3 linked regions of the Schizosaccharomyces pombe genome follow. The protein of the gene in region 1 interacts with the protein of each later gene in a pairwise test. Each region holds a gene or a part of one and is shown on either strand. Other genes may lie near its edges.

The links. The genes of interacting proteins can lie anywhere in the genome.
Region 2: the proteins of moc3 (region 1) and wat1 interact in a two-hybrid assay, tested with the Schizosaccharomyces pombe proteins (2 studies listed by BioGRID).
Region 3: the proteins of moc3 (region 1) and mse1 interact in a two-hybrid assay, tested with the Schizosaccharomyces pombe proteins (2 studies listed by BioGRID).

What each region holds. Positions count from the first base shown.
Region 1 is NC_003424.3:988,908-995,536, forward strand, and holds moc3 (DNA-binding transcription factor Moc3), read right to left. Parts: upstream 4,882-6,629; 5' UTR 4,372-4,881; coding exon 2,845-4,371; 3' UTR 2,725-2,844; downstream 1-2,724. Other genes in the region: tif308 (translation initiation factor eIF3h (p40)), read left to right, coding at 1-781; mitotic and meiotic (sporulation) septin Spn2, read left to right, coding at 1,343-1,382, 1,432-1,506, 1,565-1,693, 1,805-1,886, 1,949-2,618; ubiquitin ligase Slp1, read right to left, coding at 6,569-6,629. UniProt on the Schizosaccharomyces pombe protein: Induces sexual development and ascus formation. Also involved in calcium homeostasis.
Region 2 is NC_003423.3:1,660,097-1,665,274, forward strand, and holds wat1 (TORC1/2 complex WD repeat protein Wat1/Lst8), read left to right. Parts: upstream 1-2,844; 5' UTR 2,845-2,850; coding exon 2,851-3,795; 3' UTR 3,796-4,264; downstream 4,265-5,178. Other genes in the region: myosin-binding vezatin family protein Inp2, read left to right, coding at 767-797, 858-970, 1,025-2,293; vacuolar transporter chaperone (VTC) complex, GTPase regulator subunit Nrf1, read left to right, coding at 4,486-4,854. UniProt on the Schizosaccharomyces pombe protein: component of both TORC1 and TORC2, which regulate multiple cellular processes to control cell growth in response to environmental signals. Nutrient limitation and environmental stress signals cause inactivation of TORC1.
Region 3 is NC_003424.3:1,881,386-1,886,912, reverse strand, and holds mse1 (glutamyl--tRNA (Glu) ligase Mse1), read left to right. Parts: upstream 1-2,764; 5' UTR 2,765-2,861; coding exon 2,862-4,442; 3' UTR 4,443-4,613; downstream 4,614-5,527. Other genes in the region: alo1 (D-arabinono-1,4-lactone oxidase), read left to right, coding at 710-835, 1,037-2,296; GTPase Ypt71, read left to right, coding at 5,003-5,083, 5,435-5,527. UniProt on the Schizosaccharomyces pombe protein: Catalyzes the attachment of glutamate to tRNA(Glu) in a two-step reaction: glutamate is first activated by ATP to form Glu-AMP and then transferred to the acceptor end of tRNA(Glu).

The DNA.
Region 1 (6,629 bases):
TGGTGCTGTTACTGGTCACGTTGGTTGGTATTTGGGAGCCTATGTTAGTTCATTCTTAAGTAGCCCCTTTTTTGTAGAAACGCAATATGCTTATCAAAAGGCAAACCCCAACAGTATCGCTTTTCTTTATGATTTGTCTCAATCTTCTAATGGAACTTTGTACATGCGTGCTTATCAGTTAACTCCAGAGTTTATGGCTGCCCATGAGGAAAAAACTTGGACCGCCTCCTCCCTCAATAGCCACAACTTGACTCCTTCCAATGTTATCCGTGAACTTCCTATTGTTATTCACAACTCTCATTTGGCTACCTGTTTGCTCCACTCTCTTAGTGAGCCTCCTACTCCAGCTTCTACCCTAACCGCCGAAGCTGCTCTTGAAGATTGTGAAAGCAACTTACCCTTGACTGAAACGTTCAGTAACTTTGAGGTTAGTTTGGGTACCAGATATAGAAAGAATATTGAGTTATTATTGGAGTCTACTGATGAGTTTCATTATGAGCAAGGAAATCTTGGATTTCATCAACGTCAACTCGCAAGAGAGCAAGCTAAAATTCAACAGTGGATTGCTAAGCGTAAGGCCGAAAATGCAAATCGTGCTGCCGAAAATTTACAACCTTTACCTTTAGACGATTGGAAGCGAATCTTCAAGCTCCCTGCGGAGCCTCGACTTCTTGACTCTCTATTGATTAGCTCTCAAATTATGAAGTCTACTCAAATAGATGAACAAAGTTCTGCTTTCTTGTCTAAGCTTGCCGGTGTACGAAACGCTTATGCTTCTTAAGCTACTGATTGGTAATAATCGCTTAAATTTAGCGCTAATTATTTGTGAATCTGGTTGAAAATTTTTAAGGACTTTGATCTCTGTGAAGCGGTTGCATGTATTTGTTTATAAAAAATGGAGCATTCTTCTTCACTCTCACTAGTTATACCTCGTAGCATTAAAATAAAAGGATCTACTTAATTATAAAAGTTGTTTTGGTTTTCTTGATACAGCATATTGGTTTGTTGAAATACAATGTGCAAAAATATACCATGATTGTAATTATAAGAAACAGTTTAATCTTCAATAGTGCATTCAGTTGCTGGTAATCTACTTGTTTATCGTATTCGAGTTTTAGGTTACATTGCTAATTTAATATATTTTCGGGCCCTTATACAACATCGAAACACTTTTCTATTAATAAAATATATTGTTAAATTTTGTTTTCTCTCTGTTAGATTATTTAAAAAAAAAATCGTAAATATTGCCGAGACCTTTTTGTTTGTTTTGACTTGCTTCACGTTACAATGTTGACTTGGCCAAAACCAACAAATTCCAAATTCATTCAATTCGCAACTTGCAATGGAAGTTCCTTCTGCAGTTACCCTAAATAATTATGTGGGTATGAAAACAAAAGAATGTTGATAAAGAGTCAAAACTAATGTTTATAGGGTTCGATTCTATCACTTCGCAAATTAACCGCAAGTTAATTCGTCGTGGTTTTCAATTTAATGTAATGGTGGTTGGTACGTATTATTTTTATTACAGATTTTCAATTATAATGATGTTAACAGTTTCAAATAGGACCGTCAGGTAGCGGAAAAAGCACTTTGATTAATACTTTATTCTCTGCGCACTTGATGGACAGTAAGGGTCGTCTGGATTACCAAGCTCCTTATCGCCAGACAACTGAAATCCATGTTACAAGCCAAGGTATGTTGATTTTTTTATAGTTAGGTTTTCATCTTTGATTGAACTCATTGAGCTGGCTTCAATGAGTCAGCAATCCTTATATTTATTATGGTTACATTGCTAACCACATAGTCGTTCGCGAGAACCGTGTTCAATTACAATTAAATTTAATCGACACTCCTGGATATGGAGATCAAATTAATAACGATAAATGGTAAGTTTGATCAGTGGAAATGGAAATTTCTATTCCTGCACAGCAATTTCTAACTATAATAGCTGGGAGCCTATAATTAAGTACATTAGGGACCAACACTCTTCCTATCTTCGTCGTGAATTAAATTCACATCGCGAGAAACGTCTACAAGACACAAGAGTACATTGTTGTTTATTCTTTATTCGCCCAACTGGACATTCTTTGCGCCCTATTGATATTGCTGTCCTCAAACGCTTAACAGAAGTCGTAAATGTTGTGCCTGTTATCGCTAAGTCTGATTCATTGACTCTTGAAGAAAGAGCAGCATTTAAGCAGCAAATCCGTGAAGAATTTGTTAAACACGACATCAATTTGTATCCTTATGATTCTGATGACGCCGATGAGGAGGAAATTAATCTAAATGCTGCCGTCCGAAATCTTATTCCTTTTGCCGTGGTCGGTTCCGAAAAAGCCATTATCGTAGATGGAAGGCCTATTCGTGGTCGTCAAAACAGATGGGGGGTTGTCAATGTGGATGATGAAAACCACTGCGAGTTTGTTTTTCTTCGTAACTTTTTGATGCGAACTCATCTTCAAGATTTAATTGAAACGACCTCATACTATCATTACGAGAAATTCCGCTTTAAGCAATTGAGCAGCTTAAAAGAACAGTCTTCCCTCGCAACTAGAATGGGAAGTCCCGCACCTGTGTACCCTTCTGAACCACATCTCCATACAGCCACCGCTCAATAGTCTTCTTCCTAAGGTAATATATAGTATGTTTAGAACAAAGACTAAACCATTTGTATGACTGTCGTACCGTAATTCGTAAATTTCGGCTCTTTTTACACTATGCGAATCTTACAAATGAAGTGTTTATCTTATTAACGAGAGATTATATGTTTGATGCGTGATTTTGTCTAGCTATTATACAGTTCTATATCAATATTTATTGAAAAGCATCAAAATGATTTTAAAATTAAAGTACTGGTCGATTTAAGACATTGCAATCCATAAAATGTTCTAGCATCAATCTTCCGAAATGAGATTCGATTTGTGCCCGAAGTTTAAATTCTTTAGAGTTTGATGCAAAAACATTTTGTAGAGATAATACGCATAAATAGGAAGTGCGTAATACTGCAATATCTGTGCATTCTTCTTGCATTAATTGCTGTAAGCCAGAAAGAACGTCATTATTGTTTTTGGTAACGGCATGTCCTACACAATCTATAACTTTAGTAAGAGGACTTCTTGATGCTGAATACAAGTGCACATGATATTCATCTCGCCAAGCAACCATTCGTTCTCGATGCAAATCATCAGACAAGGTTGGTTGAGAGAGAATGTCCAATCCAATAGTAAACAAAGAATCCGAAACAGGTGCATGACTTCGAGAAACAGAAACTTCCGATAAAGGCTTTCCATTAAACCCCCAGATACACCCACGAGGAAGAATTGCAAAAACTAGTTCACGAACGACCATAGCAATCAATAAGCTGACATAATTTGATTTGGTAGACGAAGACCAACTTAACTTTCTAATAAAATTATTACAAAAATTGAGATCATAGGCTGGGAGATTGAGCTGAGTGAGAGTCAAAAATGCAGAAACCAACAGGTATTCAAAAGAATTGGGACCAGGCATTGGACAGCGAAGAGCTCTGGTCAAATGACTGTAAGCACCAAAAACGTCGAGCTTCTTAATAGACGCAAAAGCCATTAAAGAATTAGCAATACAAGGCATCGATTGAGCAAACTGGGGAACAGTGACTGACCAAAAATGCAAGGCTATGTTATTATCAAATTCAAATGCACAAATAGAAGGTACGACATCGTGAAAATAAAACGGAAACAGTTCGGAATTAAAGTTTGAAGGGAAATTGGAAACTGATGAAAGAAAAGGGTAAGAGGCCTGACCCACCGATTGTACAGAGGGTTTTGTAGACGAAGTAGCGCTAGAAGAATTATTTGTAGGAACGTTATGATTGGATTGAAGGTATTGATGCTGTTGATAAGCACTTGGAAATCCTTGTAAATTCATAGGTTTTTGATGATCCTGTTTGATTGGGGTAACGGTGGATAAATTGGAGGAGGAGGTCATCTGATTAAGATCATTTGTATTAAAATTGGATTGTGAAGAGCCGGAAAAAGTGTCTCCGGTTTGAGCGCTACTTGAAGCAATTGAAGTAGGTATCAATGGCTGTTGAGCAGAATGAACGCTTAGCTCAGGAGGCGATACACTCCCCATGGCTTGCATTTGAGCAGCTGAATTTGGATAACCTTCACATTCCCTATTTGTCTTTGTGCAGTTCAAACAAAAAGGTTTGGTTTCGTCGCACTTGATCCTGCGACGGCGACATGTTAAACATCCAGTTTTCGTTCTTCTTTTTGTGGGCTTGGGCGTAGGCTCGACGTTTGGGTTGGGAATATATAGCGGATTTGAATTAATACTACCCGTTCTATTCCGTTTCATATGAATTTCGGGATAAGAAACATACGGGTTCATAACTGCAAGGGAAACAATAGATAGAAAAAAAAAGAATAACAAGATAATAGGAACTAAACAAATCAAAAGTAAAGAAAGCCCGATTTGAAAACGCTACGCTGCTTGAGAAAAGCGCGCAAAGAAAAAACGCAAGCACAGAACATGAAATTGGAAGCCGATTTATACAAAATTTAAGCTCCAATTTAACAAGGAAACTAAGCACCTTTTTCGTAAAGGCCAAGAAACTCTTTGTAGTCTTTTTTTTAAAAAAGGTAGCGTTACTAACTCTATAATTATATATATATGAATACAATAAATTATTTCAGAATAACCGGACGGCCAAACTGTTCGTAATAACAAAAGAAAAAGCCCTAAAAAAACAAAAGAAGGTGAAAATCAATGGTCGTCTAGCAATTTGCTAGCAACTCTTGCACAATCAATAGGTTTATAGGAAGTGACTTGAAAACAAAACTAGCAAAAGCGACAAGCTCACCCAATTTACAAATGCAAATTTGGGTGAATAAAGGACTTAGAAAAAATGTTGGAACAACTTTCAAGTAGGAACCTCGACATTAGCGAGTGATAAGGCGGCAAATTTGATAAGCCCAAAGGCAACAACAATACTAAGAGCTTTTTATTTAGACGTTAGTAAAGTAGCTTGCTTGATACGCATTAGTACAAAAATCCAAAGAATTGAGAAAATCACGAGCCAAGCAAAAACAGTATAAGAACGATTAACTTGTTTAACCTCTAATGTTCTTTTAAAAATAAAAAAAAAACACAGATGTTTCGTTAATTTTTTGATACTTAGATTATGCCCTCATGTGTTTCATAAATAGCATTCCTTGCTTTTCGTTTTTTTCTGTTTTTTTTCTTTTTCTTTCAGACAATTTATAAAAAAAATTCTTTGCATGTACCTAAATATAGTTTGCATTCTCATTTAGGTTGATCAAGTTGGTTAATAACCACGTGGCTTCGAATATCTGTCATGTTCAGGAGCCACATGTCTCTCCATTGTTACAGCGATTTGGTTGATCTTTACATGGCTTACGCATACGAAGATGCTTCCTGCATTTTTTTTTTATTTCAAATCGTTCATTCACTCTGCACTAGCGAAAATCTTCATTCATATGCAAACTTGTCACTCTTTTATATTAACAAAATATAAACTTAAGCTTGAATACAACTGTTAGCTTTGAACGCTACACCTACCCTAGTACCCTAGTAGCTTGATAACCATAGCGAAGATCCGTGGCCTATTGTCGATCTCTGGGAAACTGTCACTGGATCAAAAGCATCATGTTTCTTCGCTCGGTAAGAAAACTATACTCCAGATTTATGAGAAAGGCACAAAAAGCATCAAAACCTATGCCAATGCAAGTCTCACAAAACCAAATTATCCACCCCTAAAGGTGGAATTGTTCGTTGTTCGTGATGCGATTATTGCTTTATCAGGATGATTGTACTTAATCTCAATCAGATCACCCCAAGGTTAGTCGGCTTTGTCAAAGGTCTTACCTTTTATTGAAATCCATATCCTCCTGTAACAATAGGGGATTCACTATTCATACCTAGTTCACCCATTTTTCTCATTTCACTTCTTAAAGCAAATAACGTATAATAACAGTATTTGTTTACTGATGAGATTAACATTACCCGATGAAGAAAACCAACTATGGTACAGCAATAGGTAGTTAAGAAAATACATGAGATCGTAAATACCAAATGTTTGCCAATTATGAGCGTGAATTAGCATTAGTTTTTTTTTTTCTTAATTCATCTGTGTTTCAATAATACGAATTAGATTGATAAGTTTTTTTTTTTTTTTTTTTTTTTTATAACTACCTAGTACTCTTCCATGATGCGAACATTATAACAACAATGAGACCAAAATATCTTTAGCGATTGGAACAACAAGGTCACATTTCGGAAAAATGATTTGCCAGGCTGAAGATTTATATTAACCAACTTGTTCTCATTAAAAGCCAAACTATTGAATTTACAAATTTGTTATACGAGCATCAATCCTATTATAATAAAATCGACTCAAGTTGAATTGTAGCACATATTATTTATTCACGAGTCATTAAAATATTAGTTTAAACGTGTCAATTATCTTCCCATTAGCGCCAAATCCAAATAAATAAATAGTGAGTAACTGATGCAACATAGTGATTCGACGAGCTAAACGTTGAAATCTAAAAGAAACTGGTGTTGTTCAACGGATTGTTATGCTGCTGGACGGGGTTTTGGTAATTGGAATGGGCCTTTTAACGTGG
Region 2 (5,178 bases), on another chromosome or scaffold:
ACTGGTGACTTTCATAACCTTTGTTTACTGAATTGCAAACATCTTCTACTAGCAGGTGGGAAAGCATGGTTCGCTAAGAATTTACTAATGGTTATCTTATTAGATCTTTATTTCATTGCCATTTAAATCGCAACCAAATCTTATCTCCATCTGTATATACAATATTACTGTATTGCTCTCATGTATCAAATCGTGTTCAAACTGCAAAAATCGCTTTCCGTTCATTTACCATTCTCAGGAAGAATTAGCAGTTCTACGAATCATATCCTTCCTTTCACCTCAAACTAATTTGATGCAACGAGTTATTCATTTTAACCTTGAAATAATTTTCTATCGAAGCTTCTCTTTATACTTTTCTAACACTATTTAGTTTATAAAAGTACTTTGTATATAGTCAAGGCGAATATTTCTGCAAAATAAACATATACTATCAAATCTTTTACCATCACCCTGCGCATCCTTAACAGTTTTACGGAATTCAAACATTTCCCTTATGAACATTAGCGGAAAAACAGCGTAATTTGAGCGGTATTATTTAGTTTTGAAGATTAACGGTTTACGCGTTTTATTTTCGTGAAGTGTGATTTTCATTTACCATTATCCTGAAGTGCAAACCCTCATTGATTTTAAGTATTTCTATATGATTTTAAACTACAATTAAGTTGCTGCTTAAAGCATATTGTTTGTCATTACATCTGTATAAAAAATTCCTGTCTATCAGGGTGTCGCAAGCAAAGCCTTTCCATGTTTGGCTGAACGGTTTGATATGAACGTAGATACTCAACTATCTCGCGATGGTAAGACAAAAGCTTTCCTGTTCTTTTCGACTTTCTTTCTTGTCTGACACAATACACTAGGGTTGTATTCATCTCTGAGGACTCGATACAAAGTGTATATTTCCATGCACGCTTTTGCTATATGGCATCGGTTTATCTCTTTTTTGGCAATTTATCTATGGCCTTGCATAATGGTTAGTCTGATTTTATAGTTTGAGTTATTGTAATATGCTAATGAACATTTTCAGGGGTCGGTTAATCTAAACTTACAAGATCGAGAAAACGAATATTTTTTTGACAGCATTCAGTACATTATTTATACATCTGAACTCCTCGTAGGAGATCACGAGCTACAGCGGTCACATCATGAAGAACAGCCTTCTTTGGTTTATCCTTCTTCATCGTTCAGTTCTACGAGCAAGTTTTGGAGATACTTCGCCTATCTGCTGAGCTTACAAATTGTAATAGATTTTGTTTTATACAAATTATCATCTGCAATGGCAAGTCTTCATTATCTAAAGTTTGTGAAGATAATAGCCTTATCTTATATTTGCTTCTCTTCGCTCATACGGATTTGTCATTGCTGGACATATTTTATTCGTATTATGGGATTATCCAGCTTAAATAAGTTTGTCAATCTATTGCATGATTTTGAAACTACATCTAATCGTGTTTACTCCCAAATTTGTGAATTGGAAGCAAATTCGGCAGCAAATCGCTCCCGGTTAATGGACTTCCTTCCTGCCAATGATCCTTTATTGTTTAATCTTACGGAACAAAATACTTTAAGTTACGAACTGTCTGGTTTGTATGAGAAGCTTTTACCTAGATACCAGCTGGTTCTGTCAAGAATATATCCGTATGCAGCTGCTTCCAACCTTAGAAACCTATTATCACTATATAGACTTCCAAATTGCTTTGGTAAATTAAATTCGTTTGACCTCCGAAAAGGTTCCTCAACAAGCTTAAAACGGAGTTCCATGTACCTAGCCCGTAAAGAAAACCAAGACTTTGATGACCAATCCACCCAAATTCTCAATCACATCAAAACTGCTTATTATGAATTAACTATAATCTCTAAGCAAGTTCTATGTTGCATACTATCGTTTCCGGTTGATTCATTTTTAGCTGAAAGGTCTTCATGGCTCATTGTTCACCGGGAGGTAGGTGACCTCTCTAATGCATTGTCTGTGTCGATGGTTCGTCTCGTTGACATCTTAAAGTTTTCAGTTGAATCGGTCAACCGTAATCAACATAACACTACTAGCAAACCTTTCCCCAGGATCATGTGCAAAGAAAATTTGCGCAGTCTTTTTAACGAGTTGCACTCTGTAATGATGGAAACTCATGAGTCTATCAGCTCATATATTCAAGAAGGAGACAATACAGCTATGCAGACATATGCTATGGATGAATATGATCAAGTTGGTTTACTGCTCAAAGATTTGCTCTCTGAATGGGACTTTAATAGAGCACTACTTCTCAACTTGCAACACATGCACCGAAAGCGTAAATAATTTTGGCTTTCAGAATTTTAAACCATATTTTGCTTTTATGATCTTTTTTATCCATTATTGTCCGTTTCTGTTATACGTCTTTCGGAACCTTGTTGGTTTTAATAGTTAGGATAGTTATTATAAACTATTTACAAATCGACATTTATCTAGGTTTAAATGTCGTTCAACTCAGCAATGATGTCTTTGTTGCTTAAAAATTTGCCTTAACCTTTCGTCCTGTATAATATTTTAGTTATACCAGTTTATCTTTACACTTATGCTTATGCTACTTATTGCAGGCGCAATTTTTTAAAAAATTAAATTAACATGAATTTACTATTATTCTATGAATTTTCCTGTTTTTATGGTCAAAACTGTTAAATTTTTTAAAGTTTTGATGGCTGTAGATTTAAAGTATAGATCGCCAATCGTGCGTTTACAAGTCATGCTACAAAAAATTTACTAAATATATAATATAAACATATTTAATTGATTTTAAAAATTTTCAGTCATTAATTCTCTCTGTATTCGAGTTTGTTTAATAACTACAGTATAACAGCGCTCCATTCTTTAACCACATGTCAGTACAGTATCCACCACAACATTCTGTTCTGCTCGTCAGCAGTGGATATGACCATACCATTAGATTTTGGGAAGCCCTAAGTGGAATATGCTCGAGAACAATACAACATGCGGACTCTCAGGTAAATCGTTTATGTATTTCACCTGATAAGAAGTTTCTAGCAGCCGCCGGAAATCCTCATGTAAGATTGTACGACATAAACACTAGTAGTCAAATGCCATTAATGACCTTTGAAGGGCACACCAATAATGTTACAGCCATCGCTTTTCATTGTGATGGTAAATGGCTTGCCACATCGAGCGAGGATGGAACAGTAAAGGTGTGGGATATGAGAGCCCCTTCAGTTCAGCGAAACTATGATCATAAATCTCCTGTTAATGACTTGTTAATTCATCCAAATCAAGGTGAACTGCTTTCATGCGACCAAAGTGGACGAGTTCGTGCATGGGATTTAGGAGAGAATTCTTGTACACACGAACTTATTCCGGAAGAAGATGTACCTATGAGCAGCATTACTGTTGGATCTGATGGTAGTATGCTTATTGCTGGGAACAACAAAGGAAACTGCTACGTTTGGCGAATGCTAAATCATCAGGGTGCTTCATTGCTTCAGCCCGTTGTCAAATTTCAAGCTCATCAGCGTTATATCACTCGCTGCGTCTTGTCTCCTGATGTCAAACACCTTGCTACATGTTCTGCCGATGCTACAGTGAATATATGGAGTACGGAGGATATGTCATTTATGCTTGAGAGACGACTTCAAGGGCATCAAAGATGGGTTTGGGATTGTGCGTTTTCTGCTGATTCTACCTACTTAGTAACCGCATCTTCTGATCATGTTGCAAGGCTTTGGGAGTTATCGAGTGGTGAAACAATCCGTCAGTATTCGGGTCATCACAAAGCTGCTGTTTGTGTTGCTCTTAATGACTACCAAATTTAAGTGTTTCAAAGCATTTTTCAAAATAAGTTTACGAGTTATGTTTTGTTGTATTTTTAGCTCAACTGATGTTGGAAAATTACTTCTATATATTCAAGTTTATTACACGCCTTTATCCTATTTTACCTTTGCTATATAGATTTTATTCACCAATCTTCTTAGGAAAACAAGAGTCTTGTCTTGTCAACATTCGTTTATATTAAGTGTGTCTGATTTCAAGACGATTTCTTAGTCACTTACAAATTTTTTATAAATTATATTCTTCCCTTGATACAGTATTTGCTAGTTTCATATCTCGGAGTTTTTATGATAAATAATAGTCTTAAGTGATGATAACTTTTGAAAATTTTCAATGCTTATTAGTGTAGTTTAACTTATTTTACAACTTTTATCTCTAAACATGATAGGATTAAGTAGGAAAAGTTACATATCCTCGTGTCCTTAAATGAAATGAAATGTATATCTTCATTAGCTTTCTGGTTAGCGAAGAAGCGAATTTGATAATGCAAAATTTGAAGAATTTAGTCTCGCTAAATCTGCTAATTAACTTACCGAGACTTACCGTAGTAAGATACGAAAAAAATTTCTAGGCCGTTCGACACAGCTGACCTTAACCACAACTCACAGCCAGCACATACTTAATCTCGCGAGGAGAAAAAACCTTCGATTTATAGCTCACTCTTTCCACTAACAATGTCTACTCAACCTCTTTTACAAACTACTCCTGGTAAAAGAATTGCTCTTCCTGTTCGTGTTGAACCTAAAGTTTTTTTCGCTAATGAACGTACTTTCCTTTCTTGGTTGAGCTTTGCAGTAGTTTTGGGTGGTTTGTCAGTTGGTTTACTTAACTTTGGTGATCGAATTGGTAAGATTAGTGCAGGACTTTTCACTATTGTTGCTATTGGTACCATGGGTTATGCTCTTGGTATTTACCACTGGAGAGCATCTGCTATTCGACGACGCGGAAGTGGTCCTTACGATGATCGATTGGGACCTACCATTCTCTGCTTTGTTTTGTTGGCAGCTATTATAACCAACTTTGTTCTTCGTATGTTATTTTGAAAGGATTAAGTCCATTTTTTGGAGATTTTTTCGCGATATTTCAGCCTTATCGTCTGAGCATAACTTCACAAATATGAAAATGAGGATTCCTTACTCTCCATTCCAAGTTTTTAAGCTTAGTGTTTGATAGGCTTAAGTTCTTTTAAACATATATTTTAGATTATCAATTTATTTAGTTTCCTCGTAACATGTAAAGTTTTTACATTATCTGACAATCTTTATTGAAGGCTGCAAAGATGAAAGGCCCTGGAAACGTTATGACACTGAATTGAAAGATTATTTTTTTAATGCCTGGAAAGTGATTTTTTTTTTCAGTAGGTCGTT
Region 3 (5,527 bases), 890 kb from region 1:
TCGTTAACTTTATGGAAATTTATTATTAATCGTCAAACATTTCAATCCCACACGTTAAGACTCCTCGCCGCTTTTCCATAATCATCCAATATAGTGAATAACTGTGTTGTGCACTAGGCTTGTTTTTGTTTAACAAATTATGCCAAAATTCTTTCTCGTAGCGTCCCACTGCAAACTACTTACGCTGATTTATAGTACTATTGAAAGTAAGTATATTGTGTTTTGTATATCTTTCACACCTTGTTTAAACAGCAACATTGATGATTCGTTTCAAGTAAAAAACAAATGGCATAAGTATATAATTACCTTAATAGCATAGACATGACAATTCAATACTAAGCAATTTTCTTTCACCTGTGACAATCCTAGATTCAATTACTGTGGACTTACCAACGGTTTCTCCTTGTCACTATTTAACATATTGGAGTTTTACCAATCACTATAGTTGTTTACAAATTATCGTTCAAATTAGCGATACTTATAGCAAATTACGTTTTTTGGAGGTGATATTAGTAACTGACTATATAACAATCCTCCAGCGTCTTGTTCACTGCCAAATAATCGCTAACAGCGAAATTTAGATAAAAGGATATCTGGAATTGCTCTTTTGTTCTAATATAAGGATTTTTGTAGCATCGGCGTATTCTCAGCTAATTTTGTTGAAATTCCTTTAGATTGCAATCCTTACTACTAGTTTTTGCTTTCTGCTATGTCAATTCCTCATATTAATAAGCTATCCCAAGATGGGCGAGTTCGTTTTTCAAATTGGGCTAAAACTTTCTCTGCCATTTCACTTGGTTTACGATGCCCCAAAACAGAAGAACAATTAAGAGAGGTAATGCTTTTGCCCTTTTGGACGTAGCGTAAGAAAACTGGGTTTAAGAAGACTTGTAAATTTGTTTAAAGTTAGCTTTACATCTGTCCTTAGTTTCTAGTAGTTCATGATGCTGCTTTGGCTATCAATCCTTTTCCCCCTTTTTTTTACATTTCTATAGAAATTAATTAGTTCGCTTGCTTCTAACATTATTATTTTTAGATTCTAGTAGATGCAAATTCGAATGGAAAAAAAATTCGAGTTGTCGGTGCTGGCCACTCGCCATCAGACATTGTCTGCACTTCTGGCTACCTTTTGTCATTAGATAAAATGAATAAGGTTGTCTCATTTGACCCTGATTCCCTTAGTATTACCGTTCAAGCCGGTATCAGATTTTACCAAGTACAAGAAATCCTTCAGAATTTGGGATATTCTCTTCCCATCGTTGGTAGCATCTCTGAAACTTCTGTAAGCGGAATCATGTCCACTTGTACCCATGGTTCTAGCTTGCAACATCAAGTGCTTCCTCATTATATCAAGTCAATGCGTATTATGCTCGCCGATGGATCTATTGTAACCTGTTCTCGAGAGCTACAGAAAGACATGTTTGCTGCTGCTCAAGTTAGTTTGGGAGCATTGGGTGTAATTGTTGATATTACTATCTCTGTTGTACCAGCTTTTGATTTGGTCGCCACGGAAGATGTTACTACTGTCACTGATTTATTTCAAGATTGGAAAAACAACCTGATTTGGGAATCTGCTGAATTTGTGCGTGTTCATGTATTCCCATATGCTAATCGAGCTGTTGTTTGGAGAGCCAACAAAGTAGAACCCAATACTGTTCCTCACACACCTAAGCCATCACTCTTTCGCTTGAAGCTAGATTCCTTTGTCTATCAATGTTTACTTTTTGTGGGTAAATGTGTAAATAGAGTTACGCCGTATTTGGAGCGTTTTTGGTTCAAATGTCATTATGGTTCTAAGCTTGGCACGGCTTTGCAGGTGGCTGGCCCTGGTTTTGATGTTTTGCAAATGTTCTGCTATTTTTCACAACATGTTAGTGAATGGGGTATTCCTCTTGAATCTGCCCCCGATGCCCTTGAGAAACTGATAAATTATACTGTTGATGATGCTGGAAAGATAGGCGCATATACTCATTGGCCTATTGAGGTTCGCGTTTGTGCTCCCACTCCAGAGGATGAATGTTGGCTTTCTACTGATTGTAAAGTACCCACCTGTTATATCGAAGCAATCATGTACCGCCCTTTCTCTACTTCAATTAACTATAAACCCTACTTCAAAGCCTTAGAGGATATCGCAAATCAGTATAACGGAAAACCTCATTGGGCTAAGGAATACAGTTTAACTAAAGAGCAGTTACTTGAACGCTATCCAAACCTTTCAAAATGGCTTTCCCTTCGTAAACTTCTTGATCCAAAAGGCGTTTTTTGGAACGATTACCTACAACGCCATCTCGGTTAAATCGAAACTATAACCCAACTTTAGTAATCATTATCCCTACTCAATTTATTCTTGTTATTTTGTCATACTTGATACACACATATTGGAACTGACTTTTAATTAAATTAGGAGACAATTTTTTTATATTAGTGTAGCTCCCTATTTTTAAAACATTACTTTTTACTTAATGTTCTGGGTATGGTATTTTAGATTAGGTATATTTGCAATTTCTTCTTGAATGCTATAACAAAGAAAAACTTAGGATCGTAACTAATAAATAAACATTTCCTCACTTTTGATCAGCTTCAACGACTTTTAGTACGTAAGATTACAATTTCTAAACATCCTCTTATTCGACTCCCTGAATTTCTTTCTTGTACTGTATCTCAAAGCTGTTTTAAAATAAAACAATTTGTTAACGCTAACTGTCTACTTTTCATAAAAAACAATTTTTATTATAAATACAATCACTTCTCACTCAATGTTAACAAGTTAACAACTGAGTTTCGCTAGTGAAAATTTTGCAACCTTATATCCAATTCTGGAAAATAATACTGAATAATTCTGTTTATAGTAATTTTTTTGGATGCTCTCTTATACCTCTTGTGCGAAACTAATTTGTTCAAGATATATAGTTTCCAAGATCTCATTTTATTCACTGAAAAGATGTAATTCCACTGCTGTAGTCCGGACTAGATTCGCTCCTTCTCCTACAGGGTTCTTGCATCTTGGATCTCTAAGAACAGCTTTATTTAATTACTTGTGGGCCAAGAAATCGAACGGGAAATTTATTTTGCGCCTAGAAGACACTGATCAAAAGCGAAAAGTAACGGGTTCAGACTTGGAGATTTATAAAGTACTAAAGCAGTTCAATCTTCAATGGGATGAAGGACCAATCGTCGGTGGTCCCTATGGTCCTTATGAACAGTCGAGCCGTTTACAAATTTACCAAAAGTATGCTCAGCACTTAATAGAAACTGGGAGAGCCTATGTATCTTATTCGGTCCCTATCGCTACTACCAAAATTGATTCATCTACAAAATATCATGAAATATCAATTGATGACTTGACTGATGCTCAAAGAAAGCTTTATAAATCTAAAAAATTCCCTTACGTTGTTCGATTCCGAATGAAGGAACCTTCACCATTCACTGATTTGGTGTATGGAAAAATTGCAATAAAATCAGATTCCAGAGAAATAGAGGAATCTAATAATTTTGTAATTTTAAAATCTGATGGATTTCCCACATACCATTTTGCCAATGTCGTTGACGATCATTTAATGCATATCACTCACGTTATTAGAGGAGAGGAATGGGTACCATCTACGATTAAGCATATACAACTTTATGAAGCATTTGGATGGAAACCTCCCAAATTTGCTCATCTTCCACTTTTAGTCAACCCTGACGGGTCAAAGCTCAGTAAGCGACAAAATGATGCACATGTATCTAGTCTTCTTCAAGAAGGGTTTCTTCCTGAAGCAATTCTTAATTTTATTGCCTTAATGGGCTGGTCTTCGCGTCAGAAAAGTGATTTTCTCCCGATGAAAGAACTTATCGATCTGTTTTCGATCGATAAACTAACAAAGAGCTCCTCAATTGTTGCCTTTGAAAAGCTTTACTTTTTAAACAAAAATTACCTGAGGAGAGCGATATCAGATGTTAACAGACTCGATGAGCTTATCGAACTGGTTCAGCCGAGGTTGATCCAAAAGTTTTCTCATTCTTCTAGAAGTCATGACAAAAGTTACACTAAAAAACTCTTGCTACTTTTAAAAAATAAAGTGCACACGATTAAGGAGTTTGAGAAGATAGTGTTCTATTTTTATGAGGCATCTGACCTTCAACAAATTAGAAGTTTAGTTTCCTCCCTCATCACGGTAGAAGAGCTTCCAAAAATTTTAACAACAATTTTAAACAAGTTCGAAACCATCGAATGGAATACTCATGAGATACAGATTAGTTTAAAAGAAATTGCCATGGAGCATCAGATGCCTTTGAAAAAAATACAGTCTTTACTTCGATATGGCTTATGTGGAAATCTGCCTGGAGGAGGTATTAGCGATACTATTAGTTTATTGGGGAAGGAAACAGTAAAATCCCGTTTGGAGCGTTTACTATTATCACTAAAGCATGAATTACCCAAAAGAAGTTGTATCGTATAATTCTAACTAACCAGATACAATCGTTTTTTCTTTGATACTTTTGATGCAGAGAATATAATAGCATTTTTATCAATCGTATATCTACAATGCGTTTTACGGAAAGGAACTTTATGCACAAATATAAATTCTCATTAGATTAGCTACAAAAAAAAGCAAGTAGCATCATTCAACAAATTTGTTGTAAGCAGTAAATGTTCAATAACTTTCAAAGTGAAATATAAAATCAAATTCACTGATTTTCTTTATGTAAAAGCAAATTATTAGTTTGCTTACAGTACTAGTTGACTTCCCAGGATAGTAGTCAGATAACTAGATCCTTCACTGTAATGTCTATTGAAAGCAAATGTATCTTATTAAAAACTTAGTGAGTTATTCGTTTTCGTTAAATATTGTTATAAAAATTTACGGTAAAGATTCGTATTTAAAACAACGCTATGCAACGAAGTATTGTAATGCTACTTACTGTAATGTGTCAAACTGAAAGACACTATCAATGCTGTCCCAGATGGACATTCTAAGGGCTGAACTTCTTACTACCAGGTACGACAGAATATACTTCAATGTCGGCTCAGAAAAGGGTGTTTTTAAAGGTTGTTATATTAGGAGATAGTGGCGTTGGAAAAACATGTTTAATGAATCAGGTATGTTAATGCTAGGGGAGTTGCTGATGTGGTCGACGTATCGTACAGACGAGCTTTTTTAAGCATTACCCTCGAATTCAACCATTGATGGTGTAGTGGTTATCAATTGAAGCGTTAAATTTTATACGTTCAGTATATTTTTCTTTTTGGTTTTTGTATTGAGCTGTAAAATCCAATACTGCAATTTCCCATTGATTTTATGTCGATAAGTTGTTATTTGTCGCTACAAGGTGATTGCTTTTAAAATTTATTCACTTTGTTATTAAATACTAGCTCAAATATGGTTAACGATCTTTACATCAGCTTCTCTATGAGTATTGCTTTGGCAATTTGTTAACATCGTCATTTTAGTTCGTCAATCAAAAGTTTAGTCGCGAATATAAAGCTACCATCGGTGCTGATTTTTTAACCAAGGACGTTGTGGTTGACGACAAATTGGTCACA